Linked DNA regions of Mus musculus: regions 2, 3, 4, 5, 6 and 7 are each reported to be linked to region 1. The links are microRNA targets in miRTarBase. Many come from high-throughput screens and were not tested one by one. Region 1 holds a microRNA gene; each other region holds the end of a gene's coding sequence.

Region 1 (4,370 bases):
AAATAAATAAATCTTATAATTTCAGGGAGATGACTTAGCTCTTTGAGGGACTGCAAGGCTCTGGGTTCATATCCAAATTGAAAGAATGGGAAGAAATAAGAGAGAAAAACAAAGGGCGTGGGGCATGCAAGTTTTACCCAAGAGACTGCTAGAAGGGAAAGGGACAACTGATCAGAGCTTAGATCTTGCAGGTGGCTTTCCAGGGTCTCATCCCAGGTTCCCTGCAGCCCCTCCTCCCATGCCCCTAGGGTGTATAGAATGAACCTGGCTTGCCAGCTCCGCAGCCTGAGGAGCTGGTAGGAGATTTACAAGCCTGAGTGTGTGTCCTCCCTGACTGTCTGTCCCTTTGGTGCTACAAAGGAAGCTATGTAAATGAAGGTGTGTGATGTGCCACACACCAGCCTTCCCAGTGCTGAGAAGGCTGAGGCAAGAGGATCACAAAAGTGAGAGAGACTGTGTTAGAGGGGGGAAACTGTGACTAGGGCTCAGGGACAGAGCGCTGGCCCAGCAATCAGAAAGCACTAAGTTCCATTCCCAGCACTGCATCAATCTAGTGTGGAGGCAAACTCCTGATGGGAGCCTGAGGCAGGAGAATCATAAGTTTGAGGTCATCATGGACTACAAATCAAGACCCTAACTCAAAACAAAACAAAAATCGCCAGAGCTCCGCCTCTATCCTACGCTTCTGTGAGTCTCATTCCCGCACACTTCATCTTCCCTGTGTAGAATTGGACTTTATTTTCAAAATCCCTCAATTTCTTCAAACATTTTTTTTCAGCTTCTCTGTCCCAGCAGGCACACGCTTGATGATCGCTAATCCTCTGGCTACTCAGTGATCAGGTTTTAGATGATCCTCTCGTGGAAACTTAACAGGCCACAGGACTACACCCTGACACCTTCTGGAGACCCCTAAAGAAGTTTTTGGACGGATGCCTGACTTTTATTCTGAAGCCGAGGCCTCAACCTATGAGGTAATCCTTGGAGCTTCATTCCAAGACGATTCCTATTGGTTCACTGGCTAAGCCCCACCCAGGGTTTCCAGCGCTCCGCCTTCCCCTTAAGCGCATAAAGGTGAAACGTCGGAAACTGGACAGCCACCGAGACACCTGCAGCTGCTGGTGAGCAGGAGAAGGTAAGGCACGAAGGAAGGAGGAAAAGGTGCGCTGAGGGAGGGAAGCGGGGACTCTGGGTACAATGCAAGTTGGCACATCTTCCAGAAGGCCAACTGGACTGTTTAGGAAGGGCAGAGAACCCAGGGCTGTCTCCCTGAGATGTGGGAGCAGGTGAGAGCCTTGCGCCTTCGTCCCCGCCTAGAACACCCCGGGTCCATGGGAAGAGATTAAAACAGAAGATGGGTCCCTAGGACGAAGAACAGAAACAAGGAGCGGGGCATTTTGGCAGAAGGCAGAAGCTGGGAGAGTGTCCTCGAGCCGCACTGACCACCCCCTCCCCCAATAACTAATTATGTTTCAGCACTGGAGACGCGGACAGCGCCATCCGGCTGAGGGACTCGGAGCAGAGTTCGGCTTCAGCACCAGGATTTCGGACAGCTCCCAGCGGGTCACGAAGAGACTAGGCTTCAGCACCCGGCCCCTGGCAGTGCCAAGCTCTCAACACCCAGCTTCAGGGATCGCCTTGGGGTCTGTTCTGGCGGAGAGTGTACAGGGAAGGAACCTCTTAATGGTTCTTGGCATTTGTCCTTTACGGAGGGATTTTTTTTTTCTTTTTTGAAACAGGGTTTTTTTGTGTGTACCTCTAGCTGTTCTGAAACTCACTATGTAGACTAGGCTGGCTTCAAACTCACAGAGTACAGGCGAAGCATTTGGTCAACGAGATGTTATGAGTGCCTCTGGGTGTACTAATTTCCAAAGTGAAGTGGTGAGGGGAAAGCCAGCCTCAATCCAACTTTAAATCTCAAGTTCTTTTTATTTTTAAAAAGAGTTTTTCTCTCAATTATATATATAATTATTATTATTTTAAAACACTGTAGACCAAGCTTTGAACTCCTTGTGTAGCCAAAGATGATCTTGAAGTTCTCATCCTCCTGCCTCTACTCCCTGCGTGCTGGGGTGACAAGTGTGTGCTCCTCGTGCCTGGAACAATAAATCCCACGTTGGTGATGTGCCAGGGTGTGAGTTGGGGGGCAGGTAGAGAATGAATCTTGCCTGTGTCTCAGGGGATGGAATGGAAAAGGGATGTCTAGGGAGGGTAAGTCAGTGAGTGGGGTTTGTTATGCTCAATCCTCTATGGAGAGAGAGAGAGAAGCACTTGAGGGTGTTGAACCTGGCGGAGGAGGATGAGGACGAGGAGCGGAGTACGTGAGCCAGTGCTATGTGGAAGACTTGTGATTTTGTTGTTCTGATATGATATGACAACAAGTCACAGCCAGCCTCATAGCGTGGACTCCTATCACCTTTCTCCTGAAATACACAAACAGGTAGGGGCAGGAAACTGGGACAGGAGGGGGTTAAGGGAAGTCTAGCACGGACAGGAGAGGGTGTCTAGCAAGGTCTCGGGCCCTGGGAGAGTGCAGGAGTGTTTCCCATGCTATTGGCCTGTCACTCAAACACATCTACATGATAGGATCAGAGACACAACCTCAGGGCCCTGGGTCACAGCACCGTGCTTTCTCTGGAGACTCAAATAGGGAATGGTGAGCCAGTGGAGTAACTCAGAGGGAAAGAGTGCTTTGAAATTAGGGAACCCAAGCTTGAGCCCCAGGATCAACTGGGTAGAAGGATAAAACCAACTCCTGCAAGTTGTCCTCTGACCATACATGTCCTGTGACACACATGCTTCCACACACAAATAAATAAACACACATAAAAATTTTTCTTTTTTTTTTTTTTAAGAGAGGGTTTCTGGGGCTGGTGAGATGGCTCAGTGGGTAAGAGCACCCGACTGCTCTTCCGAAGGTCCAGAGTTCAAATCCCAGCAACCACATGGTGGCTCACAACCATCTGTAATGAGATCTGACTCCCTCTTCTGGTGTCTGAAGACAGCTACAGTGTACTTACATATAATAAATAAATAAATCTTTAAAAAAAAAAAAAAGAATTACATTTAAAAAAAAAAAAAAAAGAGAGGGTTTCTGTATATAAACCTGGCTGTCTTAGAACTTACTCTGTAGACCAGGTTACCCTCAAATTCAGAGATCCACCTGCCTCTGCCTCCTGAGTGTTTGAATTAAAAGCATGTGCATACATAAAACTTTTTTTTTTTTTGGTTTTTTGAGACAGGGTTTCTCTGTATAGACCTGGCTGTTGCTCTGTAGACCAGGCTGGCCTCGAACTCAGAAATCTCCCTGCCTCTGTCTCCCAAGTGCTGGGATTAAAGGCATGCGCCACCACTGCCCGGCCATAAAACTTTTAAAAGAGGGATTGGCATCAAAGGTACTTCTAGAAAACCCTGAAATTCTTTTCTCTTTCTTGTTTTCTTTTCCTCACTCTTTTCACTTTGCCTGCTTTGAGACAGTGTCACCTGTAGTCCAGGCTTTTCTCTAACTCTGAATGTAGCCCAGGATGGCTTTGAACACTGAGTTCTCTTGCCTCCAGTCCCTGAGAACCATGCCTAGCATACACGGTGTTGGATTCAGAATTTCAAATGCTTTGACTGGGTACGGTACCCATGGAGCCCCAGCCCAATTTTCAATAAAACTCTGTGCCCGCCACACAAAGCAACCACTAGTTGCATGACTGATACCAAGAAAATGTGGACTTGTTGTCTGGTGGGTCATGGCATTCTTAACATTCAACACCTATCATCTGTGACATTCTAATGCAGTCACTAACCATCCCCCACTGTGCAATTCTCCCCAGCTGTCCTAGTGTGCATCCTGGTGCTGTGACAGGACCTTGACTCAAGAAAAGGGCAGGAAAGAGTTTATTCAGCTTACAATGATGGCCACACTCCATCACTGAGGGAAGTCAGGGCTGGAACCGGGAGGCAGGAGCTGATGCAGAGGCCATAGAGGGGTGTTGCTTACTGGTTGCTTACTTGCTTCCCCTGGCTTGCTCAGTCTTCTTTCTTATAGAATCTGGGACCACCAGTCCAAGGATGGCACCACCCACAATGGCCTTAAATCATTAATCATGAAAATACCTGATAAAGGCCTTTTCTCAATTGAGGTTCCTGCTTCCCTTAAGCTCCACCCGTGTAAAGCTGACATCAAACTCAGTCACACAGCAGCCCAGGGGCTGCTTTGTCCATGCAGTTTCCTCTCTTGGGTCTGCACAGTCCACTCACATAACCTCCCATAACCAACTCTGCCTTCTCCAGGCTTCAGCTCGGTGGGAGAAACTTCCTGTTACCTCACTGGTCAATTAGGACAAGACTTTGTTAACATTCTCAGCCTCCTGCAACGGCCACAC
Region 2 (4,370 bases), not on the chromosome of region 1:
AAATCATAACATTCCAATACTGCTTCTACTGTAAGCCAGCCTTGCAGGCGAGAGCTCAGTGCTTCTGATTTACAAACCGTCATTCCAAGGTGGTAATGAAGAGCCCACTGAAATGTCAGGAGGGTCACTCAGACATGTCTGTGATCGAGTTCATTTGGAAAACATGAAGCTCACAGACACTCTGTTAGGGCTCTGTATGCGTTTTCTCCTCTCCTATTTGACATTTAGCTTGGTCATGAATTTATTTCGCACTGTGAAGTATGGTTCCCCCAACTTCTCTGACAAGAAAACCATGTACCTGAAAAAACATTTTTAGCATACGTGTTCTCTTGTGTTGAGGACCGTGTTGAGGACCGCTAGATTCCTCTATTCCTGCAAGATGCACCCAACTAGCCCAAAGTCCTAAATGAGAATGATGTAACCAGAGGCTGTTCAGGGTTCATAGTTCATACCGCCCACCCCCACCCTATCTGACCAGCATAAAGAGCTGAATCAGGAGTGCTGGTGTAACAAACAAAGGCTATTTTGGACGACTATTCCAGGGAGATCTGTGTAATCCTGGGTCAAAGGAAGGAAAAAAAAATCTCTGAAATCAGGAAGAGGAGGACCATGAGAAGAAACAAACAGGGAAATCAAAGTACACCTGGCAGAGGAAAAAGGTCACTCCTTTTGTGACTCTTTCATGCATTTCCAGAAGCTCCGGCCAACAGTGCGGCCAGTTCCCTGGAGCCTCCTCAGAGGATGAAAACATCAATGCTAGCACTCCCGTGCTGTCATCGGCGGCAGTGCAAAATGTCCACGTCACTACTCCTGCATCACAGAAGCTGTGCTTATGTCACCAAGCCTTCTCTTGGTCATGTTTTGACATACACCAGATTCAAGGGGCCAGTCCCTTCCAGTCACAGCAAGGGGCAGAGCGTACCAGCCACCAGGATTGAGTGCACACGGCCATATGGTAGAACAGTGATCCAGAGGGGCTTGGGCAAAGCTGGTCACAGTTTAGAAATACAGGTCTCAGGAACTAGCTTTGGATTGTTCTAGGTCCGTATAATTTATTTTTATGATTAAACAACTGCAAATGCAGTGAGTTCTTTAAAATCCCTGCCCCTGCCCTCTCACCCTATCCCACCTGAGGAGGACAGATCGCCAGGGGAGCAGCAGGGCTAGGGTTCAAGAGGGCCTGGGGCTGGCATCAACTTATTCCTCAAACACTGTAACATTCTCCCAAGTTTGGCACTGTGGGGACTATTGGCAATTAGAACTCAGGCTAGGTAGGGAGTCCGGGTAGCCTTGGGCACGGTCCCAAAGCTTTGGCAGTGCTGTTTATGGAAGCTTCGCGTGTACCCTCTCAAACCCGAGTCTCCTGCAGCTAGAGTCACCCTTCCAGAGCTGCTAGAGAAGGGGAGTGGCCAGAGCACCCAGCCCACACCAAACTGTAGACTCCCCACAGCTGAACACAGGTCAGGAGGGGACAGAGAAGAGCTACTCTGGCCTTATGTGTAACTACTTATCAAAATACTACCATTTTGCCTAGAATTTCTATCTTTAAAAAAGTCTACAAGCCACGGGAGGGGGGAAGAGGCAAGAAAGGAGTGAAATATATTCTTTTTTTTTTCCTATTTGGTTAAATAAGTTACTTCTGCAAAGCAAAATGTACAAGATCTATAAATCAAGATCAAATGTACAAGATCGATCTATAATATCTATATCTATAAACCTCAGTTAGAAGGCTCTGGAACTAGGGGGGTTCAGCAATGCTGGTTAAGAAACCCTGCTTGCTCAAGGAGTACCAACCAACTAACTTGGCAGTTTTCTTTTTTTCTTCACCCAAACATTTGTGTCTCAAATTTATTTATTTTTTTCCTCTTGTTATATACTTTTGTGTTAAGCAAATACAGAAGGGAAGTTGACTGTATAGGCTGTTGAGTCTGGACCTTTAGTTAGAAGATGGGTTTTGGGTACTCTCTGGTAAGAGCATCCTAAGCCAACAAGCTCATCCCATCACTGGTTAAACCCACACCTGACTTCTCTGTTCCCCACCCACCTAACCCATAATACACACCCATCAGTGCACGTCTCTCCACAATCAATGCTTCTGTCTAACATGATAGAATGTGTTTTGTACTAAAACATTCTGAGAAGCAGAAAAGACCCTAATTCCAATGTTGAAAACACAAGATACAAAAGTAAGCAGATTTCCTGGGAAGCCATTATTAATTCTTGATGCAGCCAAAGGAAAGCAAGTTCCCAGAGGAATCCAGACAGTTTGCAGTCCTCAGAGTCCAAGTCTTTCATTCTCCAGACTCGGCTTCCTACAAGCTCTGCAGCTGAAGGAGAGGGCCGGGGTAGGGAGAGCTAATGAGCAGGGCTTGAGAAGTCATGCCGACACACAGCCTCTCTGAGAGAACAAAACAAGGCCGGCTCTGGTGTAGGTCTGCAATGAAAATCGTGGCTCTTTGGGGCTGGTTCAATCAGCAAACAGGACAATCTAATATGTCCTATAAATTAACTTACAAAGTACAGAGACTGGGAAAAAAACCCCCACAACTTTGGTGTTAGTAAGGGAAGAGCAGTAATCTAGGCCCCAAATAACTCTGCTGCTTATCTCTGAGGGTTCCTGCTTGAACTCCCAACCAGTGCACACAGGTCCCCAGGAGCCAGTCTGCTCTTTCCCTCCAGGTCACAGCAGACAGTTCCTATTTGCCTGGGTATGGACAGAGATTTGCAATTGACCATGAAAGGTCTTTCTCTTGCCAGGAAGCACGTCCCAGTAGTTTGCGCCCCGATACCAACTTGTGGTGGTAGCTGGGAACAGCACCCGTGGGTGATTCTAGGTTGCTGTTTCTCCCACCTCTGTTTGAAAGGCATGAAAGCTACTAGGTAGGGTGGGCTTGGGAAGGGCTGTGCAGAAACCAGCAGTTGGTGAGTGTGACTGGTGACCCCAGGACTCCTGCCTTCCTCTCCAGTGCAGACAGCAATTTTCAAAAGGTCATGGAGAACCATCCCAGCCTAATTCCTCCTTGAAGATGGAAGGGCATACTGTACTGCGATGTGCTTTCCGTCCTGCTTCCTCCCCTCTCTGGGGAGTCTTGGTGAGGGGAGACAAAAACTCACGTCTCACGGTGAGGTCAGCGGCAGCCCTCGATGCATCGTAAGGTGTGAACAAATGGCGAGGCTGCACTCCATGAGAGGCGTAAGGGCTGGCTAACTGCATCCCGACTCTACTGAACTAATGAAGGAAGCGAGCGGAAGCGGGGAGGTCTGGCGTGCAGGAAGCTGCACTGGCTTCCCAACTCTCAAGTCTCTAAGAGCAGGCAACAAATTACAAAGTGTTGCATGTCTCCTTCCAGGATGCTGGAGTACTGAAGACCAAGACTCAGAAGGGGAGAGCATTTCTGAGGAAACTGCTTCAAGGCAGAGGGCATGGCCACCTCATTGTCATGGTGAAGTGTTGGCATCACCAGCTTGCCCTGCCCAGGTTCAGAGAGGACGCCAAGTCAGGTCCCTGAAGGACCACAGAAGAGATCATGAAAAGTACATTATTAAGAAGGAAAACATATGGCCTGCCTTTCCTTTGCCTCATATGTGGGATCTGTGGCTACCTATGTATGTGTTTCAAACACTGATAGAAGGGCTGGGGGGACACAAACTTAGCAGCCTCTGCGGTGTCAGCAAGGGAACCCTCTGCTCAGTACTCCAAAGGGATTCAAGGCCATCAGGGAAGGGGGTTCTGTGTTGGGACGCATGATCCTAATTATACCCACACCTTTTACTACATGAAGAGAACAGTATGTTGAGAGTCCTCTAGTTTGGGGCAGCTGAGATCTGGCAGGGTTCAGTGCTCTTCTGTTTTGCTACTATTCCTGAACTTCACCACCATGACAGTGATGTTGTCAGGGCAGCCTCTGTAAAAGGACTGCAGGACGATGCTTTTGGCCCCAAAGTGGGGCTCATCCAAGCGCTCCTTGATGAATCGAACCGCTTCTTCATTGCTGAAAGCATCCCACAGGCCATCTGAGGCCAAGATCATGAACTCCGGCTGCAGCTTGTCCAGGTCAAAGGTCAAGATGTCTGGGTCTGGGATGACCACGTTGAGATTTTTCAGTGGATAGTCTCCCAGGGATCGAGACATGGCTAGGATTCCCTGGACCCTCCAGGAGCCATTAAAGCTGATGAACCCACCTGGAAAGACAGAGGGAGCCTGTTAGCTTGTTCCGGTCTGGGTGAGTGTACCACAAGCTGGTCTGCTGCAACAGAGCTGAGCCACAAGCACCCCTCCTTCACCTTCGTCACTGCCAAGGCCACCAGCATCTTGCTGTAGGGCCTGGAGTGGAATTTCATGCTCTCATCCTTGGCAGTGCTAATGCTTA
Region 3 (4,370 bases), not on the chromosome of region 1:
TGAATAAAACAAAAGTAATAAAATAATGTATGTAGGCTCTAAGGTAATAAAACAGAGATAGCTGGTATATCAATGGGCACAGCTGCTGTGTTGATGAGCACAAAGGAGCCTTTGGAAAGGTTGGTTGGGAGGTGTCAGCCATTTTTTAAGAAAGGGCACAGTGATCCTGAGTATAATACAACATCCTCGGAAGACTGCATTGAGGGCTGTCACCTTGACTCCTAACAGCACTGAGCACTTCACATGTCTGCGTATAAATAGAGCCATGAGGGTTGTGACTGTTCCTTCTTCAGGTGGGGCTGTGGCAGAAGCCCACAGGCTAGGCCATCTGCTCCACATCAAGCCAGTATTCATACCCACATATCTCAAGCTCTAGGTCCTGCCTGCTAAGCAACAGGCTAGAACCATCTGGAAATGGCTCCAGGAATCAGGGCTCTACCACATAGTAGCTCTGTAGCTAGAGACCAACCTCTACCTCTTTTATTTTTTTTTTTCAGGTATACAAAAGAGCCAAGGCACTGGACCAGTCTGACAATGATATGTCTGCCGTGTACCGAGCCTACATACACTAAGCCTTGCCTGCCCATCTACCCTCCCATCTTCCCTCTGACCTCCCCTCCCAGTGTGGGGTCAGGGTTCTGGGACTAGCTCTGGACCAGTCACCTGTCTCCATTTCCTTTTATACAGACTTTGAAACTTGCATCAGCACAGTACACAGCAGCACCCTGTCTCCCTGAGGCCCTGGCCAGGGATAAGAGGATCTATCTCTCCTGGTGGCTGTGAAGAAGCTCTTGAGCTGGGCCTTGATTGACCCTGGAGCAGGAGGTTGTGGATTCTCTCTGTTCCTCTGTGTTCTCTGTCTCTGTCACACACACACCCAGGATAGAAGCTACCCAGAAACTGCTGCCTGGCTGTTCTTGCAAGCTTAGCCCCCTTCTGGTCAAGAGACTGGAGGGACTAGAATTGACAGGGAGCACTGGAAGCTTTCAACTTCCCCAGGACAGAGACTGGCCCCCACTGGGCCCCTGAAAGGAGAGGCCCCTCAGCCATCATGAACCAACAGATTCCCTGAGGAGGCTCTGTGGATCACCAGCTGAGGAGGATTTTCCTGTAGACACTACCATTACACCGCAGCTCCCAGAGTGTCTCTGTGAACTGAAGAGAGACCAGCATAGCCACATAGACCCCTCTTCAGGGGGAGCAGAGTCTACAGTCTTCTGTCCTGAGCCTGTTCCTCCCAGGAGGTTTCATTTGGATTTGCATTCCAGCCCAAGGGAAGGGGCCGTAAGGGCCTTGGGAGCAGTGAAGTGTATGGGCGGCTCCTTCCTGTTTCCATTACGCCAGGCTCTTGAGCTGGGCTACCTGTTCAGCCTGCTCTACACAGGTCCCCTGCATGTCCCTCTTCCCCTTTTCCTTCCATGGAGATATTTCTGTCCCATCCTCTTTTGACCCAGCCCCAGCCTGATCAACACCAATAATAAGCATTTCCTAGATGAGCATTTCCTAGGCTGGGCTTTTGATGAGGAACCTTACTTCTGCCAGTGGTTCCAAGTTCTGGGTTTTTTGGGACTTGAAGCATTTCTCCTTGAAGAGGGGACCAGAGAGGCTTAGAATGTCACACGAGAGGAATCACCCGAGGAAGCCTTCCTCCTCATGAGTTTGGATTTTCAAAGCCACGATTTAACTTTTCCATCTGGGATAAGGATCTCAGGACATGGGCACGGGGCAGGGGATGCTTGTGGAGTTCAGTGCAATTGTCCATTCACTGGGATGCTGAACAGTTTCTGTCTGGACACAGCCTGTCTTGGTCCTGGGGGCTGGGGGTGGGGAAGATGCTGTAAGAAAACCGGTTAGTCAATGTTGTCTTAATATTGTTGACAATTCTGTAAAGTTCCTTTTTATGACTATTTCTGTTTAAGCTATTTCACCTTTCATTTTGAAACCCTTTCCTTTTATGGAGAAAATGTGACACTGTGGAAATGCTTGTAAGAAAGCCCCTACTCCCGCTTTTCCTTGAAATGACAGATCTAGGTGATTACGGTTGTGAATTTTTATTTTCACTTTGTTTTTAATGAACATTTGTCTTTCAGAATAGGATTGTGTGATAATGTTTAAATGGCAAAAAAACAAAACATGATTTTGTGCAATTAACAAAGCTACTGCAAGAAAAAAAAATAAAACATTTCTTGGTACCATAACTGTATCATTGTACCCAAATGCTAGGGGGACCTAGGTAGGAGCCAACTCACCTGATTCTTTCCCGGTGGAACCCTGGGCGGGCTCCATCTAGCCGGACAATACTGGAATAACTTGATGGACGGCCCCGCCGACCAATCAGTGGTGGCCAAAGCCCGGGTCCCTGCTGAAAAACAGGGATTGAGGCGGGCGGATAGAAGGCGAGGCGTGGCCTATCCGTCTAGCCACTCACCAGCCAGGACTAGAAGCTACAGCCAGTCGCTTGAGGCGTAGCCGGCTTGAGGGCGGAGCTTGTGCCCTATTTGCCAATCGGTCACGGGAGGAGGCGAAAAAGGGGCGGGCGTTGCGCGCCAAGCTCCTGACTACAGACCTCAGAGACGGTGCGCGGCTAGGAGGATGGCGACCGCGATGGCTGCGAGCGCCGCGGAGCGGGCAGTACTGGTGGGACGCGCTCGGCGGGCAGGGGGCGGCGGGCGGCCAGCCGACCGGCGGCGGGGATGGGATGGGTTTGACGCCGCGCTGTCCGCAGGAGGAGGAGTTTCGCTGGTTACTGCACGCTGAGGTGCACGCCGTGCTGAGACAGCTGCAGGACATCCTCAAGGTAACGCTCCCGCTGGTCCCGCCCGGCCTGCCATCCTTCCTATCCACCGGGTCCTGCCAATCGCACACAGCAGATGCTGAGCGTGACCCGTGCAGATACCCACTTCTGAGAGTACAGTTCAGACGCAGACATGCTGGCATGTAATTACACAAGCAGTGGGCACCAGGTCTTGAGTGTGAACTATCTTCGAAACTGACATTTATCTGTGAGCAAGCAGGGTAGTGGTGAAAGCTTGTGATTTCAGCACTCGGAAGAGTGAGGCTAGAGGTTCATGAGTTAGAAGCCAGCCTTAGGCTCCATTGTGAAACACTGTCTCAAACAAAACAGTCTCAAAACAACACTGATAATCCGAGCTCTGAAGTGATCTCAGCCAAGTTACCCGGATTTCTGAGCCTGTTCCCTTACCCTAACCAGGCTCACACGTCTGTTTGTGAAGATAAATAAACTATCTCACAGAATGCCTAGGACAGTAACCTAGCAAAGCCTGTTACTGTGACTACTGATTGTCTGATTCGGGGACTCTGCTCCCCACACATATCACAGCACTCCAGCTTTCTAGGCACTGTGCCTCTCTGTTCTGTGTTCCACCTGGCTGCTCATGATATACTCAGGACTGGAATGAACGGGTCTGAGCTCATAAAATCTTGGAGGTTTAGTAGGGCAGAGGCAGAGGGGCCAGGTCAGGCCTGCCCTCCTCGTCCCTTCCCCTGCTAACCTGGCAAAGTATCCAGGCCTTGGAATGGAACACTGGCCAGACTGAGGTGAGGTGTTGGGACTGCGCTGTCTTCCACAGGAGGCCTCTCTCCGCTTCACTCTCCCAGGCCCCAGCACCGAGGGCCCTGCCAAGCAGGAGAACTTCATCCTGGGCAGCTGTGGGTGAGCTGGGTTGGGCAGGAGCCTTTGGAAGGGGTGTACACCTGGGGGGAGGAAATGCCCAGGGTACGGTGGGGCAGCCTGCAAGGGGAGGGAGCAGTAGCAGGCGCTCCTCTGACTCGTGTGTGTTACAGCACAGACCAGGTGAAAGGGACTCTGACTCTGCAAGGGGATGCCCTCAGCCAAGCGGTGAGTCCCCCAACAGTCCAGCTGGTGACAAGGATGGTGATGGCTTAGCTCTGCCACCAGCTAGCTCTGTGACCCTGGCTCTGACCCTTGTTGTCTCTGACCTGTTTCCTTGTATGTCTGTAATGTCACAGGCAACCCTCACACTACCTCATGAGATAGGCTTTAGATCCCAGGAGGGGAAGGACAAGAACCTGATGGCATTACACTTAGTTCAGCCTGGCATCTGGACCCTGTGAAATACAAACTTTGGAAGCCTAGGCAGGCTGGCCCCGCATCAAAGTTGAATGAGCCACCACCCTCTGATCTAAGGCCTCAAAGGCCCTGGGGGACAGCCCGTCCCCACGGTTCAGACTACACCACTACCTCCTGTCCAGCTCTTCCCCTTTCTCAGCTTCTCTCGCCCCCCCCCCCACCACCACCACCACCACCACTTTGTGGTTCTTCCTGGGTCTGAGTTCCTATTTCTTGACATTCCTCTTTATCTCCCTCCTGGCTGGCTGAGGCGCCTAGG
Region 4 (4,370 bases), not on the chromosome of region 1:
TGGGGGTGTGTGGTGTTGCCTATGTTAAAGCTCATGAGAGCAAAGGGCAAGAGCCTGGAGGGCTGTAGGTAGAACTGACAAGAATTGGGCAGATCCTGGGACCTGAAGACACCGTGAGGGCACAGAGTTCAGGCACAGAACCTCTGCAGCAATAGAGGTCCCATAGTGGTCATGTCCCAGCGCTGTGCTCGCTCACTGGCTGCCTTAAGAAAGTGCTCTACCTATCACTAGTCATGGTGCCCGGCCTGACCCAGCCCCAGAGCACTGATTCTATCAGTCATCGTTTAACTTGGTGATGCAGACAAGTGACATCACACAATGTGCCCTCATCACATATACCTCAGTACATTCGGATATGAATCACGATTCTTGTAAAGTCTAAGGGGACAGGGAAGGATGCTCCTGGCTTCTTTATCCCAGAAAGGACCTTACACAGAGGCATAATGGCTATCATTCACTGGGGACTCTGTTTCCTTCCACCAGTGGTAGCTGGAAAGTTAGTAATACTGACTTAGATATGAGAGATGTTTAATTAGCAGAGGCCATGTGTCCAACCAAGGTGGTTCCTTCCCAAGGTATGGCACACATTTACACACCCCCCCATCCCCATATCTAGGAAGCCAATCCTGACATGACTTTCCACATAGAAAGACTTTTCTAGTACACAGCCTCTCCAATTCAGAGAAAAGGGACATGGTGTCTTCGTGTGAATGACACCCTGCTAGAAATGAGCAGCTGCTGGGGTGTGGAGGTCCCAGACACTGAGCACACATTCTTGTACAAGCACCTATGTTCTTATTCATCTACCACTGGGCAGGGCCCCTCACTCTGCTGTTATTCCTTTTGGCCCTGTGAGTGGGTTGGTCTTGCCTGTCTTCCCAACACCCCATGAAACACTGGCTTCCAGAACCAGCCGAGCAAGGTCCCAGAGATCCAGCTCCTGTTGGGTGGACTGAGTTGACTCTGGGTCTGGTCTTAACTCACTGTTTGATCAGGAAAGGTGGCTGCTGAAATCTACTCAAAATCTATTGCTGAATCCACATAAGGTCCTTGGGGCCAATGCCCATACGCTCTTCAAGCCTGTAAACTATACCTATTCCTGTGAGCCACAGAAGGCTGGGCAGGAAGACCAATGAGGTATACCAATGTCCCAAACTAAATGGCATGCTCTTCTCCCCCACCCCAAGAGGAGGTAAAGAGCAAGGAGGGAGATTGTACAAACATCTTTTAAGCCAGCAAATTGGAAGGATGGTTCTTCCTATGTAAGTATCCCCAGAATATAGCCACAGACCCTACCCATATCCCTTCCAAGTGCTAGGAACCCCTAGTAAGTTCCACTGAGTGTTTCTTTCAACAGACTGACCCAGGACAAAGCCAAGATGGTCCTTGGGTGTCTGGGGATGCTAAGAAAGATGAATTTGTGTATGTGTATCTGTATGTGATATTTTCACTGGATATAGTTTGCAAAACCACACAGCTCAGGGATTATTTTATGTATAAAGATAAGAAAGGCTAACCCACAAGCTAATTGAATCATGCAAATAATTGTTTAGCCATGGGAGAGATTCCTGTGGGCAGGCTGAGCGCCCACATGAGGGAGGACAGCTGTGGAGGGCAATCTATTTTATAAAGTTTATCTGTACAAAATAACTGCTGTAAGATTAATGGGGGCGGTGGCCCCAGCCCTTGTTCTGCTTGGTTCTACCAGCTGAAATAGGAAAACAGATATATTTATCATAGACATTTGCTGCAACTGATTAGCATTAATCTGATTTCCTGTGAGTCAATTTCCTTGAGATATAGTAAACAGGCCAATTATCTGCAATGGACCTCTTTTATTATAAAGATTTGGACATTAGTGACAAGCATGTATGCAAATATATGGGCTTTATTACAATCTGAGTAACACAAAAATAGCGTCCAATCTGTTAAAAATGTCTAGCTGGGTGTATATATTGCAAACAGAATGTTAAGACAGAGTAGGGAGAAGGGTAAGGGGCCTTTGCCTTTTGATTGGCACGTGAGGCCCATTCTTTCCAAACCTTTGTTCCTCTCTAACTGGCTAAAAAAATAAACAGGACAAAGCTCTTGGTATTCAGAAGACCATCTAGCAAGTTCCAGAACTGCTATTAGGTCAGAGGAACGTGAGTGCCGAGGGTAGCAATCCTGGGGTCAAGGTGGGCCCTGGGTTGTCCCAGGTCTGTGCTTCAGTTTCTCAGTATATAAACACAGGAAGTGAAGGGATGTGAGATGGTCTAGTGAACAGTCTAAGGCTTCACCAGGGACAGCACCCGACAGCTTTACTGTCACCTCCACCTTCACTGACCATGTATCTGCTAGCCCAGTTCCCAGCAAGTACCATCCTCCCCACCCCACGCCCACACTTGTGTTAGCTCAAGGAACAGAGACACACATGGCATGTAAGTTTAATCAGGAAAGCAAAGTTTATTCATGTTTGAAACTACATATAACTACCACAAGGAAGACTTTTCAATCCAGGGTGTGAGCCAGTAGAAAGGAACACGGAACGCTTTTAATACATCAGAATCACCGCCACAAATTATTGTCACGACCCAGTCAGTTTCAGAATCGCATACAATACAAAAAGAGAAGGAGAGGGCCCGCCACACAGGGTGAAATGTACAGTGCTGAATACTGAATCTGAACGCATCACAAGAACCCGCCTTTTTTTTTTTTTTCTTTTTTTCCTTTTTCTTCTGTATGGATTAGTAACAAGATGAAGAACATTCAAAACGCTTCTCAGTATTTACAACAGCTTGGATGATCCTGTGTTAAGAGTCAGACCCAATGTTGCCAATCTTGGCTTTTTAAGGGTTGCAAATGCAACCCTGAGTTTTCTTTTAAAAGATTACAATGTACATTACATTTTGTGAAGGGAAACAAAGAGTTAATTACAAGATGCAAAAAAGATAAGAAAGAGACAAACTACAGCGTGAGTATTGTTCAGAGGTAGTAAGTGAGCGCTCTAAGCTACAGAACATGTTGGGATTCTATTGGTTTGTATGAGTTCGCATGAGGTAATAAAGCTGTGTTTTGATTGGTGGGATGTATAAATACTCTTTTGCTACACTATATACAGCACTCCAGAGAGCAGGGCCTTTCCAGGCTGCCCAGAGGAAGAGCACACCTTGACAAGTCTGTGCAGCACCTAGCGCACACGGTCAAACCCCAGACAGGTCTTGTTTTCACCTCTGTAGCAGCAAGATCTTCATCTTAGGGCAATCTGGATCCATGGTCTCATTAGCGCAGACTCCAGGCTCTGGTACTTCAGAGGGAGAAAGGAGGCCACCAGTCTTTGACCTAATTACAACATAAGAGATGGCAACACAAACATGGCAAGGGAAGTCCTGAAATGCCTTCCTTAAGAAGACAGGCAGACATCGCCTTCCCTCCAAGCCCATCCGTGATATGAGAACGATGATGAGAGCCTGCATGGAAATCCGCAAGGGTTCAGCTTAGGCAGGGTGAACCTTGCCTGCTCTATAATTGGGGTCTAGCATAGATGGTACTTCTTACCCTTAAGGCCAAGGAACTGGCAACTGTGGAACCATTAATGTAAAAGACCCATAATAAATTAGGATGAAACAGTTAAAGAAGTGTCAACAATGTTACATCTTGGCCTAATTGGATAAAGTGCTTTCTTTTTAAACGTGTGTCTTAAGTTTAAATACAAATGATTATGATTCCTTAAAAAACAGGTTTCCCGAGTTCTCTAAGAAGACAGGGTTACAGTAAAGCTGTAGGTGGTGGGTTACAAACGCTTTCCTTCTCCTAGTGCTCCAAATGCGCTTATCAAGGCATGTCAGCTGGGAAAGCGCCGGGGATTAGTTAGAGGTATCCGAGTGCACACTGCCCGGGCCTTCCGTAGGAGAAGTCACAGAAGATGGAGTTGTTGCGTCCTGCCAGCCTCCATTAGCCTGAAAGAAGAGGTACAGTTCAGTGGGTATACGTCTACATATTAATTCCACTCCCCAATTTAGAACACCCAGAACGACAACAGGAGAGCAAAGGCGCATTAGCAAGATGTATTTTCTGAACCCACGTTGGCAGGAGTTGGAAGCATGTGTTAAAGTGGAATTAAATGCATGTGAAACAAATCCATCCTACCAAGTAAAGACTTAGTGATAAATCAGCTTGGTGAAGATGACTTCAACTAGTCCCAGGCTGGCATGGAGCTTGGCCTCTGATCTGCTGGTGAAAATCACCATTCAAAAGCAACCTCTCAGAAGGTACAGTGGAAAGGCTCAAAAAGATGCCTTGGTGCAACCTTACGCTCCAGGAAGCAGACACTTGAGCCAGCTTTATCACTATTCCCAGAGAAGCTGCTCCCATATACACATGACAGCCAG
Region 5 (4,370 bases), not on the chromosome of region 1:
TAGGTCATGGTACATATATTAAAATCAACATATTATGTATTTATAAAATGTCAAACTTAGCTGGGTGTGGTGGCGTATTCCTTTAACTCCGGCACTTGGGAAGCAGAAGCAGGCAGATCTCTTTGAGTTTGAGGTCAGCCTGGTCTACAAAGCAAGTGCAAGACGGCCAGGGCTGTTACACAAAAAAATCCTGTCTCAAAAAACAATAAAAAAAAAAAGTAAGCCGGGCGTGGTGGTGCACTTTAATCCCAGCACTCGGGAGGCAGAGGCAGGCGGATTTCTGAGTTGGAGGCCAGCCTGGTCTACAAAGTGAGTTCCAGGATAGCCAGGGCTATACAGAGAAACCCTGTCTCGAAAAACCAAAAAAAAAAAAAAAAGTAAAGCCTTCTTATTCTCCTCTCTCTTCTCATGTGTTCCCAGCCAGCCTTTTTTCTTCTTCTGTCCTTCTCTGCCTCTACCCCTTTTCCAGGTCCTTGCTACCCCCCACACAATAAACCTGCTTTTATACTAAAAGTAAAACTTAGTTTCCTTTCAGAGACTAATATACTGATATATATTTTATTTCAGCTTTCTGATGAGTTAAAGAGGATTCCAGAGAAACATTGACACTGGTAATGGAAACTGAAAAATAAAAACTATTTGGTGTTTGAAGAATGCAACTCACATATTTTATATTACCTCTTTTTGTCAAGTGATCTAAGTAGTTAATCATTAAACCAAAGATGTGTAGTGCCTTAACAAGCAGTTGTAAAGATCATGAAGTGTTTGGAATTGTGCTCCTCCTAACCTTCCCTTCCCAATGAACTTAGGAAACATTTGGGGTTTGTAGTATTAAGTACTTTATAAACATTTAAAACTACTACTTCATTTTACTTAGAGAAAAACTCAAAACTACTATAGTTAACTTGATTTTATCTCATCTAAGGTTGGGGATGGAAGGTTCTGAGCAGGAATCTCCACCTCTGCCTATTGCAAACAACTGCATCTGGAAGCCATTGTTCCTTTTCCTTCTTTGTGCAGATGTGTGTGCTTTACAGACCTTTCCTCTTGGGCCCAGGTATCATATACACTGTGTCATCTGAAAATGGACCGTGTCGCCTTTGGAAAGATACATGTCTTCCTGTGTCTTTCCACCTGAAATCAGCTACATATATGCCTCCTTTTACACATTCAGAAGTACCTCTAACTAAAGACTATGATTTGTGCATGAGTGTGCTATAACTACCTTGTACATGGAAAGATTTCTCATTCTGTTTCTAGTTTTATTTAAAGTAGCCCTTCTCTAACAATAATAGTTTCTTGCTAAAAATCAGTATAACTTATAAATGGTCTCAAATGTTTGTGTAAGTTACGCATTGTTATTGATTTCATTCTTATGTAACAGAAAAATAAGCTGAGTTGTGTTCATGGAAAGGACTCCCTTAGAAGAATGAGAAAACACAATCATGAAATACTGATTTGTTGCCTAGGTACAGAAATGAAATGGTTTGCCAGGCTGTGGTAGATGAAGGCTGAGCTCTGTGAGTTTGTGGTCAGCCTGGGCTACATAGTGAGACCCTGTATCCAGGGGAAAAGAAAAAAAAAGGAAGGAAGGAAGAAAAGTAGCATGTTTTCAAGCTGAGGCTGGGGCTCAGAGGTATAGTGCTTGCCTAGCAAGAGTTACACTCTGTGTTCAATCCCAATGCCTTAGAAAGATTTCTTGAAACCTGGTCTGTGAATTTTTCCTTGTTTTGATAAGGACTGTTCCTTGAAACCTGGTCTTTTGTTTTTTAAAACACATGTTCGTAAAACATGGGGCTATTTTTTTAAAATAAGTGTTTCTTGAAACCTATTATGGCTCTTGTTTTCATTTTTGTTTTTGTGTGCCGGTTTTCTAAAAGCAATGTTCTTGAAACCTGTCTTTGAGACAGAGCTCTCGCTGCTCTTACCTCTCTTAGGGAGAGCTGTCCCGCCTTCAGCTCACATTCATCCTCCTGTCTCAGCTTCTCAAGTGCTGGGGTTGCAGGCTTGTGCCACCATTGACTGTAATCTGCTTTTGCTATCAGTTTAGCTTTTTATTTACCCCGTCAATTAGAGATACAAAGAATGGTAGCAGGCACCTGCCTCTGCTCTTAGCTACCCTGCTGGCTGAAGTAGAATCCAAGAAGACCAAGAACTTGACACATTCTGGCATCATATTAACACCTCATCTCAAAAATATGTCAGAAAAGAAAACTATGAAGGGATTTTGTTTGAATTTTATCTTTTTTTCCTGGTAGTGAAAATAACCATATATGCTAACCAGTTTTCTATGAGGAATATTTAAATCATGGTTATAATATGGCTGACTCTGGCTTTCACCATAGTTATTAAGAATAATCCAGGGAGCTGGAGAGATGGCTCAGTGGTTAAGAGCACTGACTGCTCTTCCTAAGGTCCTGAGTTCAAATCCCAGCAACCACATGGTGGCTCATAGCTATCCATAATGAGATCTGATGCCCTCTTCTGGTGTGTCTGAAGACAGCTACAGTGTCTTACATATAACAATAAATAAATCTTTAAAAAAAAATAGGTTTGCCAGGGCTAAAGAGATGGCTCAGTGGTTAAGAGCACTGACTGCTCTTCCAGAGATCATGAGTTCAATTCCCGGCAACCACATGGTGGCTCACAACCCTCTGTAATGGAATCTGATGCCTTCTTCTGGTGCACCTGAAGATAGCTACAGTGTACTTACATACTGTACATTAAATAAATAAATAAATAAATGATCCAAAATGCTACTGTTAAGAAAGTGTACTCTTAGGCCGGGCAGTGGTGGCGCACACCTCTAACCCCAGCACTTGGGAGGCAGAGGCAGGCGGATTTCTGAGTTCCAGGACAGCCAGGGCTATAGAGAGAAACCCTGTCTCAAAAAAGAAAGAAAGAAAGAAAGAAAGAAAGAAAGAAAGAAAGAAAGAAAGAAAGAAAGAAAGAAAGAAAGAAAGAAAGAAAGAGAGAGAGAAGGCAGGAGGCTTGGAGTGGAGCTCAGTGCTAGAGCACTTAAAAGGCTGTGGGTTCAATCCCAAATACCACAAAAATCTAGGAATGTAACTGAAAAATGGAAAGACATATTAGAAACTACATTTAAAATATAGACATGGATATGTGACTGAGTTGATACAGTGCTTGCCTAGCCATGGGTTCAAACCACAACATCACATAAGCCGGGTATGGGTGTAAGCACATGTGTGTTATCCCAGTGCACTCGGGAGACAGATGGGAACCAGAAGTTCACCCTCATCCTTGAGCATAGCGTGAGTATAAGGCCAACCTGAGCTACATAAAGACTCTATCCCAAAGACAAAACAAAAAACAAGAAAAGATACTGTGACTATTCCCTGCTATTGATCATGCAATAGCCTTCCCATGTCTTATATAATGGAGTTTATAGAAAGAGATGGACATAATTGACCCAGGAAAAAAATTTGGGGGTGATTTGTTGTGGTTGCTACAAATTTGATGACTAGAAGGATCATTCCTTGTAAATTGAGTGATTCTTAATTTCTTATCTGCTATTCATGTACTTGTCTCTGCCAAATGAATTTACGCTGTGATTCTTAGGAAACTAGTGTGAAGACTTGTCAAGTTGAACTGGGCAACACTCCTACTGTGTTATCTCTAGCTGCTGGTGCCTCCCGTGGCCAGTGTTTTGTGTGTTTTCTCCTTGTTTAAGAGCAACATTCTTGTATGGAGAAAGGCTTGCTCTGGCTAAAATCTGTGAAAAGCAGATTTTCTCATTTAAAATAGTGTTACTTTTGTGGAAATTTTAAATTTAGCTTTTATCTGAAGTGCCTTAAGTAGATTCTTAATTTACTTTTCTAGTACTGGTTTGAATATAATTCATTATGTATTTTTAATATACTGTTCAAAAATGATACATACTATAGCAAAGATAACCAAATGTCTGGCTTACTGCTTTCTGTCAATAAACTTTTACAATCTAAATTACATGGTTTTTTTATTCTCTATTGTCACTACTTTTCTGTTACTATTATAAAATACCCTGACTCAAGCAACTTCAGGAAGACACGGCCCATTTTGGCTCAAAGATGGAAAAGAATATATCTAGAGAAGACATGGCAGCTGCAGCATGAAGCCCTCAGGCAGTCAGGAAGCAGAAGGAGAATAAGACCAGTGATGTACGCTAGCAAGACTGTCTCTAGAAGGTTCCACAACCTCCCAACCACTACCACTAGCTAGCAGATGAGCCTGTGAAGGTATTTCATGTTCAAACCACAGCACATTTCTCCAGAGGGATCAACATGAAATACCAAAGGGGGATTCTTTTTTTTTTTTTAAGATTTATTTACTTATTATATGTAAGTACACTGTAGCTATCTTCAAACACTTTT
Region 6 (4,370 bases), not on the chromosome of region 1:
CCATGGGGCTGCCCTCCGGTGCACCTCCCGGTGTGGCCACCATCCGCCGCACACCCTCTACCAAGCCCACTGTGCGCCGCGCCCTCTCCAGCGCTGGCCCCATCCCCATCCGCCCACCCATCGTCCCTGTGAAGACACCCACCGTGCCCGACTCCCCTGGCTATGTGGGGCCCACACGGGCAGGCAGTGAGGAGTGCGTCTTCTACACAGACGAAGTGGCCTCACCTTTGGCTCCAGACCTGGCCAAAGCCTCCCCAAAGAGGCTCAGCCTGCCTAACACAGCCTGGGGCAGCCAGTCCCCAGAGGTAGCTAGCTACGGCGGCGGGGCTGCGGTCGGGCTGGCCACCGAGGACGAAGAGCAGCAACTGGCTGCCAACAGGCACAGCCTAGTAGAGAAGCTTGGGGAGCTGGTGGCCGGTGCCCACGCCCTGGGTGAGGGCCAGTTCCCCTTCCCTACCGCCCTGTCAGCCACTCCTTCGGAGGAAACGCCCACTCCACCCCCTGCTGCCACCAGTGACCCCCCGGCCGAAGACATGCTGGTGGCCATTCGTCGCGGGGTCCGGCTGCGCAGGACCGTCACCAACGACAGGTCGGCGCCCCGCATCTTATGATGGTGCCGCCCACCCCTCCCCGTCTGGGCCTGGCACAAGGAGGTGACCGGATCTGTGAGCAGCGGCCAGCCACTCTGAGTGGCGGCCCAGCCAGAAGACAGAAAGCAAAGCGTCAGGAGTGAGGCACAGCCACTTTACGGAAAGACAACCAGGCTGGATCCCAGCATCTCGCGGGAAGCGACTTCCCTCACACACCTCGCCAGGACAGAGCCTGTTTTATACTTTCCTTACCTACTCAAACCTCCTCTTCCTTCCTCCAGGCCCTGCTACATCCAAACCCCAGAGCCCATAACCAAGGGCTGGGCCTGCTACATGGGGCCCTACCTGGCCTGGGGTCCACAACTCTCTTCCTCTGGCCCGGCTGTCCTCCGGGGCCATATGCCCAGCTCTTTCCTTGAATGCTGGCTCCCTCTTCTCCCTGCCTGGACCCTGTCCCATTTCCTCTTGCCTTTGCCCTGCCTCTCCCAGGCTCCTCTCTTTGGGGCACAGGGTGGTCACGGAGGGGCCAGGTACCCAATCAGCTGAGGATCTTTGTGTGACTGGGTTTAGGGACAGTCAGGCATTGGGAAGCCAGGCTTGCTCATGGGAAAGAGCCCTGGAGGGAGGGAACGTAGGGGCCTTGTCTCAGGGGACCCTCCAGTTCCCTGTGAAGAGTAACTAGTGGGGTGAGGCAAGGCAGACAGGGAATGAGTCCAGAGGTACCAGGTGTTTTGGATGCCCTGTTCTTGTCTGGACACTTTGGAGCTTTTACTCTAGGGGCGCCTTCGGGTTACAGTGTCACCTGTTGCTGGAGATAAGGGCTGGAGCATTAGATGGTGTGGGGGTTATTTTATGACTGTAATAAAATGGAGCTGACCCTAGACAAAGAACTATGTGGGGCAAGCTGGTGGTACAGGGTGTACGTCTGAGTGCCTGAGAGAGGGGTGTGGGAGCCCTCAGTGGGCTCGAGGCCAGAGAAGGGTAGAATCACTCCCCCCAAACCGGGGGAAGCTGCTCTTCTCGCCAGTGTCTGAAGTGTCGGTAGAATAAGGCTGGTGAGGGTAGGCCAGGGACTCTGGCCAGTCTGTTGAGATCTGAGCAAGCTGCAGGCCCGGCTTGGAGCAAGTATTAGAAGGTTGGTTTGACTTTCTGTTGCCAGAGGCAACACCATCCCAAGAAAGTCTATGCCTACAGGCCTAGCTGGGGCTGGCAGCAGGGACCAGAGGAAGAGTGGGTCCTGCCTCCCTGTCAGCCCAAGTCTGAGCAAGACTAAGCACGTAAGTGTAAGCCAGAGGAGAGATTCGGGAGGTAGAGCAGGCAGCAGACTCCAAGGTAGCATTCTGCCCGACCCCCACAGGGAGTCCAGAGAGCGTACCTTGGTCTTGAAGGAATGGAGTTGGGGCTGACCTGGGCCCAAGGTCATGGGTGCTCCAGTGCAGGGCAGCCCAGTAGGTCTGGTAAAGCAGGGATTCCTGTATGTGGATGGAGTTACCACAGGGCTCCCCGAGGCTGCTTAGCGAGTTATCTCCAGGGTCTGAGACCTGGCCCACCAAACTCAGTTGTCACCAGAGCCCCGAGTATAGAGTCCAGGAAAACAAATGGCCAGATGTGGAACCCTGAGGCATATTTTGGCTGCATCTTCCCCAAAAGAGCTGTCAAGGCTGATGGAAAGGGATGCAGGATGTCAAGTGGGCAGATGTGGTCCCTATACCCAGGGTGTGGTTGGGTCCTAGAGAAGGGGGTCCAAGAGGATGGGCTCACTGCCATCTGAGGACTCCAGGCCCTGATGGGAAGGGAGGCCAGGGACTTCCCAGGAAGAGGATGGGGTGGCATGCCCACCCCCAGTTTTAGCCTTCCCCTCCCCCCCAGGGCTGTACATATTCCATCCCCTTGTCTGACCCACAAGTATCCTCCTCCACCAACCACCACTTCCTCTAGTGCTCACCTCTCTCATAGGCCCGCCCTCGGGATCCGAGCCAACCATCCTGCATCACAGACTGGTTTGGGGGCTTCTTCACGTACATTTTATTTTATTTTATTTCATTTCATTTGTACAGCAAAACATTCTTTTCAAATGTGTCTTTTGACTGAAGTAACTTTTCTGGTGCTGTTAACTTGTATTTTTTTTTTTTAATTTATTTTGCCGCCCCTCCTTGTTCCTACTCACCCTCCCCTAACCCCCAGCCCCAGCCCATCACTTTTATTCTGTTCTTTCTGCCAAGTTTGGGATAAATTCTCCCGCCCACCCCGGTTTCCATCCTCTCCTTGATTTAAATAGTCACTGCTACAAAGTAACAAATGCACTGTGAAGATCCCAGTATTAATAAAGCAGTACTGTAGTTAACGCCCCGGCTTCCTCCTGGCTCCCCTGGGCTGCCGGCTTCGCTCACCTCTGCTTCCTACCCCTGCGCCATACCTTTGTCATCATCCCTGGCCTGGAACTCCAAGCCAGGTGTCATTGATTTAAGTTCAGGGGCGGGGGGTTGGGGGGTGAGGGACAACTTGGGCAAGGACCTAGGTTGGTCTTTGATGTGCTCCCACGGGGACTGTGGGGAAAGCCAGAGGAAGCGAACAAATAGAAATATGGTCAAGAGGCACCTGGACACCTGAGCAGACATTACTTGGGCCTGCTGAGACAACGCGAGCTAAACAGGGCCGGAAGAGCCAAGTACTCAACCCCCACCCCCACCCCAGTAAGACTGCCCACTGTGGGCTCCAGAAGCCCACCCTTCCATCTCCAGAACTCAGACCCTCCAGGTTCACCATCAGAGATGCAAGCCAAACCAAATAAATGGCCATTTAATAGAAAAAGGAACCAGAAGAGCATCGTCATGGCAAGATACGGCATTTGGTTGGTCCTCGGCCCAGCACCCCACAGTCAGCACAACTGAAAAGCCCCAGTAAGTCCTGGGATCCTAGGAGGCACCCCGTCGTTCTTGGCCACCCGCCTGTGGGGCAACAGTGTTTGCAGATTTCGGACCGGGCCACAAGCAGAGGTGGCTGTAAGGGATAGCAACCAGCCCTCCCCTCCACATCCCTCCCCTGAGGCTCCGTGATACCACCAGAAGGCAGGAAGCCTGGGTGTGGAAGAGAAGGCAGGAGGCCTTTCCCTGAAGGCCTTTCCTAAAGGGGCTACCTACCCACCATCCAGGAAGGTCTCAGATCCAGGCCAGTTTCTGAAATGCATCCAGTGGCCCGACCCAGGGTCAATACATAGATTGCTCAGGGCAACGAGCCATGGCTTGAGCTTGGGGATCCGGGCAGGGAGGTGGGGGTCTGCCGAGACAAAGGGTACACATTTGTAGCTGTACATTGCATCAAGGACCCCGGACTGTGGGGATGGAGCCTGGGCAGCTCGCAGTCCTGCCATTTTAAGATGGGGCTTTGTTTACCTGCAAGAAACAGAAGAAGAAAAAAAACAAGGTCTGCAGGACAGAACAGCCAAACCACACACTCCTGCCCCCATACTCAGGGCCCAATCCAGCTTCCAGAAAATTGGGGATGCCCTCTGATTGACTCTGCCCACACACATGGACCCAGATCCCTTGGCCCACAGTTGCCATCCACGCCCACCGGAAGCCTCTTACAGCAAGAACAGTACAGCAGTTCCATGACCCGGAAGCAGTTGTCCAGCAAGGCTTTGGGCCGCACCAGCTTCAGGCTTAGGCCTGGAGTACTCAGAAGAGATAACACAGCTTCCACGTGAGGGCCAATCTCCACATCCTGGGAGGGAGGAAACAGTCAGGACAAATGAAAAGAACCCCACCACCAGAGAACCAT
Region 7 (4,370 bases), not on the chromosome of region 1:
GGGATTAAAGGCGTGCGCCACCATGCCCGGCAATTTTTTTTTTTAATGTTAAAAAAAACTTTCTCAGGTTCAGTCTGGTTGGTGGTGCATACTTTTAATCCCAGATTCAGGAGACAGATCGCTGTAAGTTTGAGGCCAGCTCCAAGACAGCTTTTACAATAATGATTCTGCACAAAAGAGATTGACTAAATCCTCAGAACTTTTTACCCATTCAGTTTCACATGTGAACAGTAGCTTCATTACATGATGTTGCATAGGTAGACACTATTATGTACAACTTTATTTTCTGTTTTTAGAGAGAAGTTTAGCCCTTAGCTCCCTGAAAGCAGCTGGCAAGTCTGAACCTTCAAGCAAGTCGCGGAAGCAGCTAAGAAAGCAGCCAGACTCTCTAGACTCCGTCAGCTCCTCCGTTTCTTCATGTCTATCAAACACTACATCATCTCATGGCACTAGAAAGCGATTTCAGATTTATTCCAAGTCTCCATTTTACCGAGCTGCTTCAGCTTGTGAGGCCCAGGGAACGGAAGGACCGCTAGGCCAAGCCAAATCCCTAGAAGACAGGCCTCAGTTCATCAGCAGAGGAACCTTCAACCCTGAAAAGGGCAAACAAAAACTAAAGAATGTGAAAAACTCACCTCAGAAAACCAAAGAGACCCCAGAGGGGACAGTCACATCTGGCCGAAAGAAAACTGTGGACTCAGACTGCAGCTCCACACAGCAACTACCACTGTTTGGAAATAATGAGTTTATGGTCTAAATGGACAGATGTGTCCCCAGATCTCATCTTTGGGGCCTCTTCTGGTCACCTTGTTTGTAACAGTCGGTCCTAATGGTCCTGCCTCGTTTCAGCAGACAGATTGTATGCTGGATCACTGGGCTTCTGGCAAAAGTGGCCGCTTTGAAGTTTGCTAGGGATGGGCCAGCTGTGCCTTGGCTGCTGTATTTGATTTGAGAGTCCACTGAACAAAGCCACCTGGGACCTGGGGGATTTTGGCCAATAATAGTTGCTTCTTGCCCACCTACTTTTCCCTTCCCACAGATAGTTGCTGAACTAGGGAGCTATTGTGATCCTGAGGTATGCTCTCATTTCTAGCATTTAAAGAAAACATACAAACCTCTGTTAACCATGGAAACAAAAGCTTTTGAGTTTGTATTGGAATAGTTAGGAACTGTGTTAGAATATAAAAATTTCCCCAAGGATTTATAAGCCCTCTATTTTAAATTTAATTACAAAACATTCAATGTTATCTTTTGGAAACCTAAACTGATTTCCATTAAGCCCAGAGTGTCTCAGCTACAGGAATGTGAAGAGACCATGCTTTGTCTCTTGTTGATATTTGGTATTATAGTCAGTGCTGGTTTAACGCTTGGTTAATTCCTGCCAAATATATTTCATGGGGTAAAGTTCTGGTAGCCATACTGTATTGGTATGCCCTGATTATAGATCAGACTCCTCTAGGTTTTTGTTTGAAATATGTCACAGGCACATTTAGGTAATTCCTAAATGTGAACGCATCATCCTGATTGATCCAAGCTTTTCTTTTTGTATAAACTGAAGACTGTATCCGAGCCTACTCATCTGCTGGTGGAGTACCACCATAGATGTAACCATTTCATCACTTATCTAGGAGTACTCACATACATACAACTGTGCATGAGTGTTATAGAAAAAGCCGCCAAAAGAAGTCTAGAAAGTTTAAATATGATCTATTTAATTTTTGTCTTCTTATCAGACCATCAGTATTAGATGAAAAAAATCAAGGACTACTTGAAGCTATTTTTGTTAATATTCTTGTTCCTGAAGTTTACTGTAAATACACATGTATAATATGCCTAGTTCTTTTTAACCTTGTGCTTTCCCCTTATTCCCATTGAGTTTCTCCCTACAGATAAGAGGCCATTAGACAGGTGGTGAGAGCCATTCACCCCCGGGGTGAGGAATAAGTAAGGGCATCTTTTTCATCACTGGTAGTTTCCATAAGTTATAATGTCAGAAGCATCATGTACTAGCAATTGTGGGACTAGAACTCTGTTTTTGCTATTTATGTTATGTGAAGTGAAACATGATACCATTTCTTAAGTATATGAAATGTTTATTTTTAAAGTCACTAAATACATTTTGTCTAACTACCACATGCACTGTTACAAGAAGAGCCTTTAATATCCATAACCTGAATTTTGGTTTTCTCCTCCTCCTCTTCTTTTCCTTCTCCTCCTTCTCCTTTTTTGGTTTGAAGTTACAGGAATAGAAGTCTTTTGTTAAGGCAAGGTCTCTCCTCCTACACAACACTGAACCTCACGCCACTGCAATAGTGGTCATTGGCCGGCTCTAGAGATGAGACTTGTAGCATTATTTTGCACAGCAGCTCATGGTGGCTGGAGTCTTCCCTCTCCATGGTATGGGTTCAGCATTGAGACACATGAAGGAAGTTTTGAAAATCTCCCCGATGATGATGGTCATTCAGTAAATGCTAACTTTTATATCCCTCCAGCATTAACAATAAGAGTTTTGGAAACTGTTCTACAGGAAGCCAGCATGGCTGTGATATGGTGGGGTGCTGTTTTGGGCCTTTCTGGCTATACAGTCTGTTATAGTATTTGGGGAAAGTAGCTGCTACTGGGTGGTAACTGTTGCTAACTGTTGCTCTCCACTTGGCTCAGAACAATTTCCTTTGTTTCAGAGGAATGTCCTGGAACTCAGCACTTGACACACATTCTCCCTCCTAAAGTTTTACAGCTCAGTTTTTTGTTTTTATTATTTCTATAAAGTAAATTTGGGGCTGAGAAAAAAAAAAAACCAACCTACCTACATAGGTCACCTTGTAGGAACTAGGTAATCAATATTAAAGACTTTATAATTTTTCTCAGGGACCTAAAACCTGAATTTGAATAAAGTTAAATAAAAACTTTTTTTTTCATTTGCTAGATTTGTGGATTTTTTAATCATTTAACAAGCCGCCAGGATGGGTGGGGGAAATCCACACAACTATAAGAATGTCTCGGCAAAGTGTAGGTCCCTGTAAGGAAAAGAGTGCTGTTGTTCTTGGGTTAGCAGGCACTATTGATCTGATAGAGACGAAGCCATAACTCAGTAGTGTCAGATGTCTGGCTCCATCAGTTCTTAACAGAGCCTCTGAATCCTCACCCATGATACAGATCCACATAGAGTTCACTGTTATGTCTGTCTAGCTGCTTTTCTTCAGTCTTAAAATGCACCAAAAGAAACTCTCTGGCAGCAGCAGAGTGTCTCACATGTGGAACCTGTGCTCCAAACTTCAGAGCATCCTAGTTATGTCACATACTTCTAGTCCACAATAACTCCTACATTTTTCCCTACTCATTAATATGTGTCTGTAGCTGTGTGTCATAGAAAATGTAGCAGAAGCAAACAATACATTTTGCATCACAGACTGAAGCAAATTACAGCAAATGCAGGCAGGATTCAGGGAGGTGACACACTTAGTTTGCACATATTTGTACTTCCTGCCATTTTGATTATATGACCATTCTAGGTCATACACACAAACGGAGATATGAGTATTGCTAGGAGAGACAAAAGGATGTGAGTTCAGGGCACAGGTCACTAGGGCCAGCTCTCAGGCTTTGGAAACCTATCACTCTCACCTTGCATAGGGTATGAAGACTGTTCTGTGTCTCAATCAAAGACAGTGTCACGGAAATGTGCTCATATGAGGTGATACATTGAGGCTGTATCATTCCACCTTTGTGCCTGTGAGCTGTGTTTTCAACTGTAACTAATAAGCTAGAGCGAAGGAAGGATTCTCAGGTGTGTGACGCTGAGAGTTATAACTGGAGAAAGAAGTTTGTCCAGATGGCTTTCTCACTTTAAAAATTCTTGGTGGGGAAATAGATGTGGGCCCTGCATTCTTCTGTGTTGAATGGTGTGTTATATGCACCCACACACTTGTGATAACTTCCTAGCACTGTGTCCCAACACCATGCTGGCCTTAGTAGTAAAATTTTTTAGGTATTTGTAGAAGACCTGACTTTCTGCATCCCTAAGAGACCACATTTCTCTGGAACATTCTCACACTTTTGGTGTTAAGTGGGTAATCTCCAGTGTATTAGATCTTACTGATCTCCTGGTTTAAACTTCAAAAAAGCCCTAGCAATGGGTCTGTCACCTTGTCACCTGTCCACTCTTAATGCCTATTTATCAGCCCTCTTAGGTCATATAAGAGTTGCACCTCTTGAACCAAGTATTTGTATTTACTATGGGAAAGGTGTAGACTACAGATTAGTATTATATTATTTTAATGGACTCAAAGTAATTTATAAGTATGGTGAGTGTAAAGTTTTAAAATACTGTGTATTATAAAAGGACACAACCTGTGAAATATGCCACTTTA

Evidence for each region. The annotated mature microRNA mmu-miR-7b-5p reads UGGAAGACUUGUGAUUUUGUUGUU and lies in region 1 at 2,335-2,358, shown strand. An mRNA with a match to its seed (bases 2 to 7 or 8) in the 3' UTR can be bound and repressed. Matches are read on the target gene's strand: a 7mer-m8 pairs with bases 2 to 8, a 7mer-A1 pairs with bases 2 to 7 and ends in A, and an 8mer does both.
Region 2: the mRNA of Ppm1l is a reported target of mmu-miR-7b-5p. The part of its 3' UTR that is shown has no 7-base or 8-base seed match.
Region 3: the mRNA of Glyr1 is a reported target of mmu-miR-7b-5p. The part of its 3' UTR that is shown has no 7-base or 8-base seed match.
Region 4: miRTarBase lists Pbx3 as a target of mmu-miR-7b-5p. Seed matches in the 3' UTR shown: 7mer-m8 at 2,481-2,487.
Region 5: miRTarBase lists Magt1 as a target of mmu-miR-7b-5p. Seed matches in the 3' UTR shown: 7mer-m8 at 1,115-1,121 and 7mer-A1 at 2,600-2,606.
Region 6: miRTarBase lists Mtss2 as a target of mmu-miR-7b-5p. The part of its 3' UTR that is shown has no 7-base or 8-base seed match.
Region 7: the mRNA of Myo9a is a reported target of mmu-miR-7b-5p. Seed matches in the 3' UTR shown: 7mer-m8 at 2,382-2,388.

Annotation. Positions count from the first base shown.
Region 1 is chr17:56,240,683-56,245,052 of GRCm38, forward strand. It overlaps Mir7b (microRNA 7b), which reads left to right and starts at 2,306; the gene lies at 2,306-2,416. A230051N06Rik (RIKEN cDNA A230051N06 gene) reads left to right here and starts at 1,034. Exons shown (of 2, transcript NR_155493.1): 1 at 1,034-1,132; 2 at 1,474-2,123.
Region 2 is chr3:69,552,640-69,557,009 of GRCm38, reverse strand. Ppm1l (protein phosphatase 1 (formerly 2C)-like) reads right to left here. Exons shown (of 4, transcript NM_178726.3): 4 at 1,606-4,182. The coding sequence ends at 3,836. Among named protein-coding and RNA genes, the nearest start is that of B3galnt1, 44 kb to the left of the region's middle.
Region 3 is chr16:5,011,730-5,016,099 of GRCm38, reverse strand. Glyr1 (glyoxylate reductase 1 homolog (Arabidopsis)) reads left to right here. Exons shown (of 16, transcript NM_001079814.1): 16 at 498-2,198. The coding sequence ends at 572. It overlaps Rogdi (rogdi homolog), which reads left to right and starts at 2,547. Exons shown (of 11, transcript NM_133185.2): 1 at 2,547-2,637; 2 at 2,726-2,797; 3 at 3,591-3,673; 4 at 3,805-3,859. The coding sequence starts at 2,593.
Region 4 is chr2:34,169,036-34,173,405 of GRCm38, forward strand. It overlaps Pbx3 (pre B cell leukemia homeobox 3), which reads right to left. Exons shown (of 9, transcript NM_016768.2): 9 at 2,422-3,938. The coding sequence ends at 3,846. Among named protein-coding and RNA genes, the nearest start is that of C230014O12Rik, 63 kb to the left of the region's middle.
Region 5 is chrX:105,967,677-105,972,046 of GRCm38, reverse strand. Magt1 (magnesium transporter 1) reads left to right here. Exons shown (of 10, transcript NM_001190409.2): 10 at 568-3,963. The coding sequence ends at 583. Among named protein-coding and RNA genes, the nearest start is that of Atrx, 40 kb to the right of the region's middle.
Region 6 is chr8:110,738,467-110,742,836 of GRCm38, forward strand. Mtss2 (MTSS I-BAR domain containing 2) reads left to right here. Exons shown (of 14, transcript NM_198625.2): 14 at 1-2,935. The coding sequence ends at 611. Il34 (interleukin 34) reads right to left here. Exons shown (of 7, transcript NM_001135100.2): 6 at 4,178-4,313; 7 at 3,363-3,982. The coding sequence ends at 3,813. Among named protein-coding and RNA genes, the nearest start is that of Gm15894, 15 kb to the right of the region's middle.
Region 7 is chr9:59,924,275-59,928,644 of GRCm38, forward strand. It overlaps Myo9a (myosin IXa), which reads left to right. Exons shown (of 44, transcript NM_173018.2): 44 at 297-4,370. The coding sequence ends at 757. The region is part of intron 2 of Gm20275 (predicted gene, 20275); the gene reads right to left. Among named protein-coding and RNA genes, the nearest start is that of Gm20275, 15 kb to the right of the region's middle.